2 linked regions of the Oreochromis niloticus genome follow. The protein of the gene in region 1 binds, or shares a complex with, the protein of each later gene. Links are inferred from orthologs where the notes say so. Each region holds a gene or a part of one and is shown on either strand. Other genes may lie near its edges.

Evidence for each region. The genes of interacting proteins can lie anywhere in the genome.
Region 2: the proteins of hltf (region 1) and protein S100-A10 are in contact, whole or in part, in a crystal structure (PDB 4HRE), measured with the Homo sapiens proteins. The link is inferred for Oreochromis niloticus from reciprocal best matches to the Homo sapiens genes HLTF and S100A10. Residues at the interface, in NP_001305864.1 of Homo sapiens: Thr32, Phe33, Phe34, Pro35, Phe37, Phe39; in NP_002957.1 of Homo sapiens: Phe42, Asp58, Leu59, Asp60, Gln61, Gln70, Ser74, Leu75, Ala77, Gly78, Leu79, Ile81, Ala82, Tyr86.

The regions. Positions count from the first base shown.
Region 1 is NC_031983.2:20,228,482-20,235,526, forward strand, and holds the start of hltf (helicase-like transcription factor), read right to left. Parts: upstream 3,015-7,045; 5' UTR 2,869-3,014; intron 2,568-2,868; 5' UTR 2,566-2,567; coding exon 2,365-2,565; intron 2,254-2,364; coding exon 2,087-2,253; intron 1,701-2,086; coding exon 1,558-1,700; intron 1,452-1,557; coding exon 1,366-1,451; intron 1,157-1,365; coding exon 1,085-1,156; intron 871-1,084; coding exon 679-870; intron 577-678; coding exon 502-576; intron 409-501; coding exon 348-408; intron 269-347; coding exon 214-268; intron 1-213. UniProt on the Homo sapiens protein: Has both helicase and E3 ubiquitin ligase activities. Possesses intrinsic ATP-dependent nucleosome-remodeling activity; This activity may be required for transcriptional activation or repression of specific target promoters.
Region 2 is NC_031985.2:17,139,035-17,145,875, reverse strand, and holds protein S100-A10, read left to right. Parts: upstream 1-4,695; 5' UTR 4,696-4,848; intron 4,849-5,794; 5' UTR 5,795-5,815; coding exon 5,816-5,944; intron 5,945-6,078; coding exon 6,079-6,240; 3' UTR 6,241-6,331; downstream 6,332-6,841. UniProt on the Homo sapiens protein: Because S100A10 induces the dimerization of ANXA2/p36, it may function as a regulator of protein phosphorylation in that the ANXA2 monomer is the preferred target (in vitro) of tyrosine-specific kinase.

The sequences.
Region 1 (7,045 bases):
GAAGCGTGCACATTGGGAAAGGCATCATTAATGCTGAAAGGTGTATGGATGTTTACAGTTTTGCTAAAAGAAGGTTGGATGCTACACAATGGTAAACATGGCTCTGTCCCACTGTCCCAGTTTATTTTTGAGACGTATTTTACGCCGAGTCCAAACTTTTTTGGAATTGAAGTTGTATAATTTGAGTGAAATGTACATCAATAATGCACTCACAGGTTAGAACCACTTGATGTGCCACTCACTCCAGCTCCACCTGAACTGCTGCTTCCTGAAGCAAACAAACCACATCTTTTATTTAATTTGCATGTTTCGACAAAATCATAAAATGTGTTAAAAGTTTTCAGTACCTTCCAGTGTCAGGGCCATTTGTGATGTCATTTTAGCTTTAATGGGTGAAACCTTCTCAACCTGCACACATGTAAACACACATTTTGTAATCAGTGAACACAAGTTACTCATGAAGCATATTGCCTGAAAAGACTGCAACACACTCCTACTCACACATTTCTCCACAGGGAGCGGCTTTCCTTTGTGAAAGTTGGTGAGAATCAGTGCAATTACAGTCAGAGTTTTACCCTAAAAGAAAGGAAACAGTGCAATTTACGCTGACTGTGGACGCTGTTAGAATATGATCACGTGACGTGTGCACTTAAATATGTGTATCTGTGTGTCACCTACCAGCCCCATGTCATCTGCCAGTATGCCTCCACGAACCCTCTCTGGTAGCTCTTTGGCAGAGAAACACGTGAGGGTGTTGTAGTAGAGCTCGCCTCTCTTCTCCCAGAACGGCGGCAGGGCAGCTTTGTTTTCGCGAGCGCACATCCAGGACAGCGCCTGCTTCTGATGGAGCAGGAGGGGAGTAGCCACAGACTGGAAAAAGAGACGGTTGTATGTTAAACACTAAAGCTGTAATCCGATATAACGAAAAGCAAAAGGGTGTGACAGCTTGGAGAGAAATACGAAACTCTTTCCTTAACTCCAGTATAAAAAAATAAAATGATCTCAATCAATGCATTTAACTATTGTTATTAAAGTAAAAAAAAAAAAAAACATATTGCAGACAAAAGCAGGTAATAATACCTACCACAGCAGCTTCTTTCTCTCCATCCTTACTCTCCATCAACCCTTCGAAAAGGTTATCAAATGCATTTTTTAGCTGAAAGGAAAAAAATATAAGTAAAAAAACACTGTTTTCAACACAGATACATGTTGGTCCATCCCATGAGTTTGTTATTTATTTGCTTGTAAGGTGTCCTTGTGTTTTCGGACCTATAAATAAAATGTATAATCATTATTATTATTATTTTATTATAAACTATAAAGCCTTACAGAGTACTACTAAAACATTTAATGTAATTTATTTACCTCATCAGCAGTTAGTGCAGTGGTCACACCTTTTTTTGATGAATATGCGCGAGCATCTTGTCTACTATACCATTGTTGATTGTCGCCTGAAATCCAACGCATGCAGGTAAATGAAGGACCACGAGCATTTACACACACACAGACACACATTAAAATTGAGTTAATTAAGTCCAGCAATTGTGCAGGGCGTACCTTTCAGTTTGCCTCCCTCGGTGTTCAGCTTATATCCTCGGCGTGACATATGTTCCAGTACAGAATTTTTACTCTCTTCTTTTCCCCAGAAGGACAGCATCACCGGCATGGTGTAGGTGTTTTTCGTCCCCGAGTATACCACCCTGAAAAAGTAATGAGAAGTGTATTAGTACACAAAGGAAATTACAGTTTGCCAACATTAATCCTCTAATAATGAACATGCGCCTCAGCTCAATGTCACTATGACAATGTCACATGTTTGGTTTTGCAGATTTTTGCAGGAAGATTCCCTTACTGCACAACCCCAAAGGGATTTGTCTCTTCTCTTGGAAGCAAACCAGGGATCCTACATTTGTTATCCAAAACAGTACACTATAAGGAATATATGTACAAAAAAAGGAGTAAATAGTTTGATTAAATAATGTGATTTTAGTGGTCAGCAACACCTGAGTGCTTTTGTTTAGGGGTTCAAGTAGTGATAGTCCTATTTTCTGAAAGGGACAATAGTTTCGGGCACATAGCAGCTCACCCTTCTACTTTAGCTAAGTTGTTGTCCATGATGTAAGCCATTGCTGCTGCCAGCTCCTTCTTGATGTGTCCGACTTGATTTCCATAAATGTTGGCAACCATCACTGCGTTGCGGTCATATGGATTCTGAGGCTGCCGCACTAAACCGACCATCTCCCCTTGGTTCACCTGTCCAGAGATAAAAACACCTTTTGCTTTTCAGGTTTCTCCACATGTTTCTGACCTGTGTTGTCTCCTCTGTCCACTAGAGGAATAAAAGAGACCCTGACTGATCCTCACCACCCCTGAGTAATATCTGAGGCCGACCACGGTTCCCTTGAGCTGGCCAAACAACACGCTGCCGTCTGCATCGGGCTCCTCAGACGCTGCAGCTCTGATGGCCTGTGAGAGAGTCTCTGCATTGGATTCATGGCGATCTGTGAAGAGGTCCACCTCACTGAACCTGCCCCAACCAAACTTCCACCTGCGGTTGAACTGCATGACTGCAGCAGAGATAAAAGAACATGAGTTTAGATAACAGAGTACTCTGAAATGATGTGATAAGATAGGCTGCAGACGGTAACGACAGAAAATACGCATTCTAACTTCGAAGACACGCAGATGCAGAAATAGCACTTAAACAGTGGAATTAAACTATAATATAAATAACAATATATAATAAAGTTAGCTTGTCAACCTATACCTACATACAGACTTATAAGCTATTAAGAGTTAGCATGTGTAGTGTGTCCATACAAATAAAAGACTGTTACAGAGTGTCGACATGAAACAAATCGTTCGTACTGTTTAACTTCCTCTCGGTGAAGACTGTAGTTTGTTGTTTTTGACGTATTTTGTTGACGTTTGAGCTACTTTCATCTGCTGCTTATTCAAAAAGTAAAATCGGCTTTAGTTGCTCTATAACTTCCGGTAGTACTTTTCAAAATAAATTATTATCGTCGTTTAAAAAGATCGCCCAGTAAATAGACATTTTTATATGAGAGCTTTCACGTTTAGTCATCAAATGAGTTGTAAAATAAAAAGAGATTAGACAGCGATAACCTTATTCAAGACACCTCTCATCCTGTATCAACATCCTGCTTTACCACCACCAAAACCATACACCCAAATAATATACCTCACTTGACAGGTTGCACCATGCATTAGGGTCTACATATTTTCTTTTCCCTCTACGTCTGCAAAGGAAATCAGAAAAGAAACCAGCAAAATACAGTGGAGGATCTGTGTGTTGGTCCCCAGTAGTACTGGCGATCTTGTCAAAATTGATAGAATTATGATACACAAAAAAGTACCATCAGATTTTGAGCCACCAAATAATACCATCTAGAAAGGATGGGCTGGCCTCCCCAGAGCCTGGACCAGAACATTATTGAAGAAGTGTGGGACCATCTACCACTATCCAAAGAGAGCCCTGAATGTCCTTCAAGAAACCTGGAGAACGATTCCTGATGGCATTTTTAAAGAAATTAAAAAAACACTGCCTAAGAGAATTCAGCCCGTGTTGAAGAATGAAGTTCAAGCTCAGAACTTTAGAACTGTGCAAACTCAGTATTTCCATATATGTTTGCACATGTTTCAATAAATAGCTGCACTCATTTCACTTTTTTCATGCAATAAGAAGAAATGGGGGATGGATCAGACCCTGAATCTTTGATCTAGACAGTACTGTACTTTACACATCTATTTACTGTTAATGTGAAGCTCTATATCTCATCATAATTTTAGACCAGTATATTTTATTAATCAAAGAAAATACAACAAACGGCAGTATATTTTGGGGTTTTTTTTTTTTTTTTCAAAAACCACCAAAAATGTTTTAATTCTTGTTTTTGATCATTGTGCCAAGTTTTAGAATTGTGAATTAGTTAATCAATACTTTTAAAAATGGAAGATGATACGTTTATATAATCAGAACAGCCCTTTTGGGTGTTATTCTGAAAATTAAAGATCTGTTGTTTCCGATGTTATTGCCACGGATGTTGCGCAGGAGCTGCGTTTACGCGCCTTTGAGTTTTGCCCTAAAAGCACTACGGAAGCCGCGTGGTTCCGATTGCTCTGTTTGTTTCGCTTCCTCTCCGCCAGGTTCCTCCCCGGCCCGAGCACGGAGTCAAGTTGAAAACACTCGGGGAGAGAAAAGAGGGCAAACTGTAGCGTGATAAAAGTCGGCTGCTTTTTCGCAGCGGCGAGGGCTGTCGTGAAATCTCAGCGTCAAATCTGGGCTTTAAACGGACTGAAAACAAACAGACACGGGGCGGAGTTTTGGTAGTTTTGGCCGGAGTGCGGTTGAGTTTTGCGGTTGACAGCAACCGGTAAGTTAAGACTTCTTCATTCACTAGTCAGTGCAACACTTGTCTTAAACATTTTGCTTCGGTTTGATCTTTTTCTGGCACAGGAAGCACCCAAACCGGATAGCATCTCCTTCCATAATTACTGAGAACACACTAGATCATACTGATCACTAGATGAGATTAAAAAAATGTATATAATAAAGTACAGGAGGCAAAAAATTAAGATACCAGTGTGAATTGGGTTTGTGGCTGGCTTGGCCACATTGTCATATTGTCAAAGTAATATAATAATTAACCCAAGTGATGTCAGTCTACAGGGACTGTGTTCACACAAACCGCTGGAATCTATTCTACAGATATGAGTCTATAAATAAGCAAAACCTGCTTTAGTAATGACGGTACCGAGAGTGAGGTGTTGAAGTTGCACTCTTGAATGTGATTTACATCTGTAGGACCACATTTTTAACTTAAGTAAGATGGACTTTAAATGAATACAGCCTGTACTTGCAGAGAAATCACACACTTAAATCAAATTTAAACCTAATTAGTGCATTTTTATGACATTTAAAGGCATTTTTGTTGTTGTTTCTAATTAAAATTGATAAAGAACGATCACGAATTTAGTAGTTTTCTAACAAACTTGTAGTCAGTGCACTGTAAAGCAGCACGTGATCAATTCTAACTGTATGAAAATGAATCAGATATATTATAGTCAGTTCTAGACATTGTTTAAAACAAGAGCTAAACATGACTTTTTCTAAAAGGTGTTGGCCAAAACAACTTTCATCCTGGAAAATCGGAGCAATGTGGGGATCACGTGGCTCTGGCTTGCCAAAAAGTGCTATACATCTGTAAATCTGTGCCTGTCATTTCTCCATTCACACTGTGACTTTTGTAATCGAGCAGGAAGCTAAAACATTGCGACTTTGATTCGTGAGTTTAGTTCTGCACCTGATACAAAGCCTAAAGCCTTCAAGTTGCTTGCAGGTTGATTATTTTGAGCCATTAAACTGTTGACACGGGGGTTTGGAAAAACAGGATAAGGTGTTCATTGTGGGTGTGCAGCTGGGCAGCGTGTTTATGCTTCATTTACTGTCAGACTTACGGTCAGGGAAGGGACGTAAATGGGAAGAGGAAGAACGTAAATACAGTGTGTGTGTGTGTCTGTGTCTCTGTCTGTGTGGTGCACATAAATGTGTGATTTCTCATCTAACTGTATGTTTCTGCATATTTATGTCACTGAATGAAAGGAAGGTGGAAGAAAGCTGTGTGTCTGTGCGTGGCTTCATCACTCCTTCCATCACTCATTATCACTCCTTCCAGGAAGTACTCCACAGAATTTCCTTTTATAGAAGCTGAATACAAAAGACTTGTTGTCCACTTCCTGTAAACATCTTGCCGGCCGTGTTCTCCGCTCTCTGGTTGGCTGGTGTGATCCTGTGACCCTTTGTGGCTCAGGGAGTTCCAGGATGAGGAAGTGGGCTTCCCTTGATCGCAGCCAACCACGGAGAATAGAAAGTACCCTGATGTAGTGAGAGAGTGGGGAATGAGGAATAGAAATGGTATAGGCACAGGCATGTTGCTGGCCTGGCGGGACAGAAGATTTTAAAGGCAACATATTTCAGTAGAGCTGAAATAACTGCTCAATTAGAAGCTTAGGTGATTGGGTGAAAGAAAACCTGACTATTTTTCATAATTTTGTATTTTTTTAAAGCATAAAAGCTAAACAAGTGGGTCTAGCTTCTTAAATGTGAAACTTTTCCCTTTGTTTCAGTTTCACATCATTTCATTTATGCACAACTATCTTAAGGTCCAGCCATAGTATTTCAGTCAGTTTGAGGTGTGAGTTTTGACTGGGACATTGGAACACCTTGGTTCTTTTCTCTTTCAGCCATTCTGTGGTTGATTTGCTGCTGTGCTTGGGAATATTGTCTAGACCCAATTGTAAACAAGTTTAGTTGTTGGACAGTGGGCATCACATTTGGCTCCATAGGAGGAAAGCATGGTTGACTCAACGACTGCAAGGTGCCAGGCCTTGTGACCCACAATCACCATGCTTGACAACTGGTCTCAGGTATTAACCTTTTTGGTAATAGAGTTGTCACTTAAGAGAGAAATGCTAAAACCAGCTACCTGAAGCTATGCTGAAAGGCTTAAAGCTAAATGCAATCAGTTTAAGCACAGTTTATGCTTGGAGTGAGACTCACAGAGTAGCTCACCACAATGTCACTGCATGTTGCCCACAATAGTGATGGTATTGTAATACAGCTATTCTGTGATTGTAACTTCAATGTTTACTTTGAAAGTGTTGATAAAAAGGTATAGAAAAGGTCAGGGGTTGCACTTTGTAGAGCTAGAGAAAGCATATGGTAAGGTGCCAAGAGAGGAACTATATTACTATATCAGGAAGTGGCAGAGAAGTGTGCGAGGGTGGTGCAGGACATGTAGGAGAACAGCGAGACAGTGGTGAGGAGTGACAGATGGGTTTAAGGTCGAGGTGGGATCTGCCCTGAGCACTTTCTTGTTGGCGATGGTGATGGGACACGTTGACAGCTGAGGTCAAGCAGAAGTCTCTGTGAAGAGGTAGTGAAGGTGGGTGAGTTTAAATGCCTGGGTTTAACCGTGCAAAGCAATGGACAGTGCACAAGAGAGGTGAAGAAGAAAGCGCAGGT
Region 2 (6,841 bases), on another chromosome or scaffold:
AACTTGCTAAACAGGAATCTTGAAAACAGCCAATGTGAGTGTCACAAATACCCTGTTGAACCCTATGGAGGTGGTTTTCTCTTCACTCCGTTGACTCCGTTGAATCCAGGTAGGAGCAGACTTTTCTGTGACTTTTATTGTTTAGAGAGAAACTAGACAAATTTTGTCTTGTGGTTGAAGATTCATCTGTAATTATGTTAAACTGGCTGGGTTTTGGTTCTACTCTAACTGCATGTATTTTGTTTCAGTGAAGCTGCTCTTCCTTTTGAAAGGTATGTAAAACTTTTAGTTAAGAATCACATTTTTAAAAAGTAAAGACTTATTGTAAGTGCAGTCCATCTACATTTCTGTCCCTCTGCCGATGCATGCCAAATAATATTTCATGATCCATTTTATTTCTTGTCCAGATTCTTGTACAGCGCTGCAAAAATGTCAGACCCAACAAGACTGGAAATGGCATTGGCTGCAATGTTCAGTGTCTACATGTCCTACCAAGGAGATGACAAAAAACTGACCAAAGAACAATTTCTAAAACTAGTGAAGGATGAACTACCCGTACTTGGTGAGGTAAGGGAAAACACTGTAGTAAATCACTGCAAATGATCACAGTAACCTTAAATGTGTGTCTCGATGTCACTAAAGTGCAATGTAAATGTTTAAGGCACAGCTTAGCATTAAAATCAACTAGCCTCACAAATCTGTTGAGTTTGCAAATTTCTCATAACAGCCTGACTAAAAGCATGAACCAAGAGATACATTTTTTTTTTTTAAATTAATTAATTAAAAGAACAAAGTATTATTAAACTCGGCCCTTTTCTTGTGTTTTGTTTTAATGAAATGAACATAAACGACTGGCTCAAAACTTAAACACCTGTAATGTTAAGTAGAGAAATGGTAAATGCTTTACATTCACAGGCTCTTATTTTCAAAGTTATTAAATGTTTGTTTCACCTTTGCAGGGAAAAAATGAAGATGAGCTCTTCAAGTGTGTCGACCACAATGATGATAAACGTGTGGACTTTGAAGAGTTCGCCTCACTGGTTGCTGGTTGCGCCTGTGCAAGCCATGACGCCCTCCAAAAGGTCGTGAAAGAACTGGATTCAAAAGGCTTCCCAAAGTAAAGCACTGCTGATGTGGAAAGAAACCCAATATAGGCCTTACCTGGATTCACATCAAAACAAAGTCTGTCAAAGACTGCGTTTGTTTTTTCTTTAACTTGATTTGTCTTAGGGATGGATAGAAATGTTTGCTAGTTGCCTATTCACACCTCTGAACTAGTTGTTCCATGTTAGGATATACCCATATTGCCCCCTATTCTCACATGGGCTTAAGAATATAACACTGATGTTTGTGTCCACTGTACCTCCTTCAGGTAATGCTGCCATCTACTGTTAGAAAACTATGCCTATTGGCGGTAGTGTTCAAGTTACTAATTATTACTTTAAAGTAATCCTGTCACTTTACTGATTACTTTTGAAAATAAGTAATTAATCTTTCAAAACATGATACACAACCTGAAAAGGTAATAAAGCAATAGATCTTTTAGTCCAATTCTACTTTTTCTGCATAGTCCATCATATAAAATGTAATCAAATGAATTTTAATCATAACTTCATGCACATTGCATCAAGCAAAAATTAAATTATATGCAACAGTCTTTGACCTTAAGAAATCTGTTTAACATTTAAACCTATTTTCTGCATATTCCAGCATATAAAATAAAATGTTTTGTGTTTACACCCACTCTTTCAAATAGATGCAAGTGTAAAACAGCAGAAAATAAATAAACGCGTTACTTGTAACATGTTACTGTAACGCGTTACTGCCCATCTCTGATTATAGGTAATCCTTTCAGGACTATAGGAATGTGAAATATGTAAACCACTGAAACTGCTGGATGATAAAATCCACCCAGATTGTTTTTAAAGCCATAAAGTTTACTACCTTTTTTTTTTTTTTTTTAACTAAGAAGTAGATAAGCCTCTGAATTCCTGACTTGACCTGTTTCTGAATGGTTTCCTTCTATCCAAAAATACTATTTGACACGACATTCAACAAAATACAAGCTTTCTTGTAATTTACATAGTCTTTAGTTCTCTAGGCTTCTGGAAGGACATTCAAAGCTATTCTTTGAATGTTGGCTGCCTATTGCTCTGTAAAGATGATCCAAAGCTGCTTCAATAAGGTACAGGTCTGGGGGCTGAGGCCAGTCGATAACTGATAGTAATCCAGTTTTTGGAAATGCATTTGTTTCCAAAAACGTTTGTTTTCAGGGTAAACTGTGTAGTTTAATTGAATGGTATACATTCAGTTAGACCAAGCATATGTTCTTAATCATTCATTATTTGAATAAATATTCTATTTTTTATATTTCAGTTGTATTTTAGTACACTACTTATTTTATTATTGCTTCGTGCTTATGAGGGCCAATGATTTAATTTTATTTTTTATATTGTATTTGTACATCTATCACTTTTAAGAAGCCCCAACACCAGAGGCTGAAATGCAGCCCCAGACCATGACAGAGCCACCACCATATTTTATGGCTGTAGACACAGTGCAAATATTGATGTAAAGTTCTTCCTACGACGGGTATGTGGAGACCTGGTTTGTCAGGTTTTTCAGTACACACTTGTGAGAATTAGAAGACTAATGACAACGATTTTGATGTTTGCCAGGAATTACTCAAGCCTTTCTTAAGAAGAACTATGGCCTTAATTTAAATATATAGCTTAAATATAAGTCCCACATTCCTGTAGCACCAACAAAATGTATTTGAAGTATCCAAAATAAACAAAATGACATCTTGTGTAATGTCACTTTAATAATTTTATTACATTAACCTGTGTTAGACTAGCAGCCTGTCCAGGGTGTACCTTGCCTTTCACCCAGTAAAAACTCGGCTCCAGACTAACCACAACACTGACCTGGATAAGTGGTTAATTATTAATAGAATTATTATTATTGACAGTAATATAATTATTATTATATGGAAGCCAAGTAAAGCACAAGGACTTAGGTAAGTGCAGGATGGAAACGTGCGTGGTGTACTCAGTTGCTGGTTATGTTTTTTTGGCAACAAATCTGTGTGAAACTTGTTACTGTTTGTCCTGGTTTCAACTTTTTCAGATGAAATGAAGTATTTATTTCAAACCCTTATCATAGGATCATTCTTTGGATCGTCTGTCTCTGTCCATATCTTCCCTGCACTCTTCCACTCTATACACCAATAATTGATATAGTCATTTTTCTGCCATAATGTGTTTACGGTTCTTCGAACCCTCCCTGCAAAAGATCACCTTTTCAGAAAACTGCTTCAAGAAATCACTACTAATGGAGTCTGATAATAAGAAGAGAACTGGTTTAACCAAGAAACAAAACTGGAAATCTGGACTGACGAGTTATTAGAAAAAGAGAGTTAGTCAAGTACTGTATTTGTAGGTCTTTCAGTTAAAATGATATATTTAAGGATAACAGCAAGAAAAATAGTAAGGTAGAGGTTAAAAAAGGTAGTAGAGGTTAAAAGTGTGCTGGCAGAAATTTGGGTTAAAAAAAATAGATAGATATTCAGTTTGTTATTTGCTTAATAAACTTTTTAAACAGGTTTACAATATTTTAGTTTTCTTGTTAAGCACTGTGTATGTCTGTTTTTACACATTTTTCTACTGTCCTTTATATGGGACAACAGATTAGGATTACAGGATTAGGCTAATAAAGTAAAAAGCACTTCCACTTTGATCAGCTATGAGATTAACATGAAACCTAACATTAATACATAGCGAGATCAAATAGGTTAAAATAACAAAAAGTTGAGTGCAGGAAACATTGCAATAAAGTATTTTGGTGATTTTCATGTTAAATTATGTTTTTTTTTCTCCTTTGTTAATAAAATGAGATACAAACGGATCGGTTTGTTATTCAGACACAGCTTTAACACTGGGTCCAAAGCGTACCATTTGTAATACCCTGTTTTCACCACAATGTGGCGCACTGTATCCATCCAGCTATCTGTCGTCCATCTTTGATATAAAAAGCATTTCAGGATAATAGGAGTAAAGGTTCACCTTATGATAGGAATATAAATGCAGATAATATGAGACAAAACAGTCCTTGAAACCACACTGGCTGGATTGCCTCTGTTGTGAATGATAGCGATAGTTTACAGAATTGAGCTTGTACTCAGCAGAATGCTGCTGATTGGCTCTTCTGCTGATGTGTATGTTTTCCTGTGCTTATCAAAAATCCTGTTCTTTAGTTGCTATTTGTTGTTGTTGTTGTTGTTGTTGTTGTTGTTCTCTGTATTTTGTCTCACAATACCAGACAGAAAATCTCGGGCCTTTAGCTGTCGTATGAATACTCCTTTAGGTATCAGTAAGTCTAACAGGTAAATTACAGATTTTCCAGCCTACGAAATTACAGTAAATAGTTTTTAAAAATCCTTTAAACCTAAGGTGTGTTTATTATGGAGATTAACACAGAAAAGTAGTGCGTGTGTGGGAGGTGGGCGGTGGAGAGGGGCGGGGGGTCTGTTAAACCGGTAGCCTAAACTTTGATGAAAATTTATCTTAAATTCCACAAAAACGGCTTTTAGCTCTTCTATCAGCAACAATACTAACTTTTTCCTTGTTTTTAATTCAGATGACTAAACTTAAGCTAAAGTCGTACTGATATATTTACTCTCCTATTACTCCAGTGTATTAACTGTTCAGAGAGTCCAGCGTCTGCACAGCCACAGTGTGAGTCAGTGCGCACAGCCAGGGCGGCGCCTGACTATAAAATCTCTGTTGCTTGTTGCAGACGTCTGAACATTCGCACCTCTTCTGCTGACCACGTCCCAGCAACTGTACGGTAAGAAACTTTCTGCTCTTGTCCTACAGGTGTGGCTTTGCCACGAGTTTTTTTTTTTAATATAAACTTTAGTTGCTCAAACATACAGACATACAGCTAGGACCCTCTGGGTGTGAGAATAGTGTTTCATATTGTCTAACCTACTTTAATCCGCTCCCAGTCACTGCTTTGTATTTACTGAAGCTCCCTCTTTGTGAATTTCTAACGGTTTCTAACGGATCTGTGTATTTCCTCTGCTGTAACTAAGTTAGGCTGCAACTTTTAGTTAGTTTATTGTGTTTCTTTCTCTTGTTTTCAATCTTTCACATTAATTACACTTTAATTGTTTTTCCAATGTTCTAATTACTTTTATTAATAAAATATATAATTAACATTTTTACATTAAGCTCTGATTCACATTTAAGACAGTTAACTAGGTCTCCATATAGTCGATATAAGCCTTTGTAAGGGTGTGGTTGGGTGGTTGGGTTGGGTGTGGGCATGTACACACATGTGCTTGTTCCTCCAGTGTCCTATCTCATTACTCACATTGAATCCCACCATTTTGGGTCTCACATTTTTCAGTTCAAGTTGTTCACATTTTCCATTCTCTTGCACACAAATAACACACCCTCCCTCCCACTTCTCCTTTCTTTTAACTCTTACAGCTACAAAGACAGTAATTCAAATGTTGAGATTTTCTGTATTTTGCACAGTGGTTTACTAAAATTTCAATGACATACCTTTACTGTCGTCCCACGAGCATCACTCATCAGTGGGAAGTACAACAAAGACCCAAATGTGTCAGCTCCATCAATAATGGACGAGTTTAACAGCGTCACAGCCAAAGCAGCTTTCATAAATGCTTTCTAAGGACTTGTTTGGAAAATGTCAGCTGAAGTTAAACTGGATTGCTATCACTTGTCATAGTCAACATTTTCTGCTGTATCTGAACATTGTTTTTCAGTCTAAACACATTCCAGCAACCATGCCTTCAGAACTGGAAAACTGCATGGAAGGACTCATCAAGGTGTTCCACCGTTACGCCAAGAATGGTTCGCTCACCCGGCAAAACCTCAGACAGCTAATGGAGGCTGAGCTTTCCAGCTTCCTTAAGGTGAGATGAGACCAAAACGTAAATTGTACAATCACGCTGCGCATTATTTACACACTGTAATCCAACACTATGCCACCTCGTGTGCAACCTCACTGTTGCTGATGTATCCTCACACACCCTTTTTTTAAACACAGTGTCAAAAAGATCCTGCTGCTGTGGACAAGATCATGAAAGACTTGGATGCCAACGGTGATGGTCTTGTGAACTTTGAGGAGTTTGTTTCTCTGGTTGTTGGACTGTCTGTTGCCTGTGAGCAGTGCTATCAGCTGGAAATGAAGAAGACTGGAAAGAAGTAGGAAGTACAACAGTGGAAGAGAATAGACCAAAAAGCATTGCTTTTTTTTTTTTGTAAAGTTTTGTTCATTAAAAGTGCTGAATCCTTTTAAACCTCTTGTGTCTTGTGTTTCCTAGCTATGTAATCTTTAAGTTAGACAGATTTGCCTATAAATCTTCAACTTTTTATACATGTGTTTTTGTAAGCAAGCACCAGCACCATTTCCATTTGAGAAGCTGGTAAAGCTTAATCCAGACAGCTTTCTCTGTTGGCATTGTAACTGAGTGAGTACTTTATGTTTCCCCGAGTGTTAAAGGGCAGATGAGCCACTCCCTCCCTGACAAAGTCCCTGCTTTATCACTGCTCTGAGGAATCTGCTGAATGTTGTAGGCATGAACACACCTCTCTCAGTGAGGCATAAACTCTCAGAGGATGTTGCAACTCTATGAATAAAACAGGTGATAACATTGCCTAGTCAGTTTGATTTGTATCTTGCAAGCCCTCAACTGACTCACAAGAACAGCACATCACTGTTCTTGTGCAGATCACAAAAATCCCACTGTGTTTCATGTCTGGTGAAAGTTGAATAACACCAGAGAAAGAGAGAGGGGAACAGGATAACC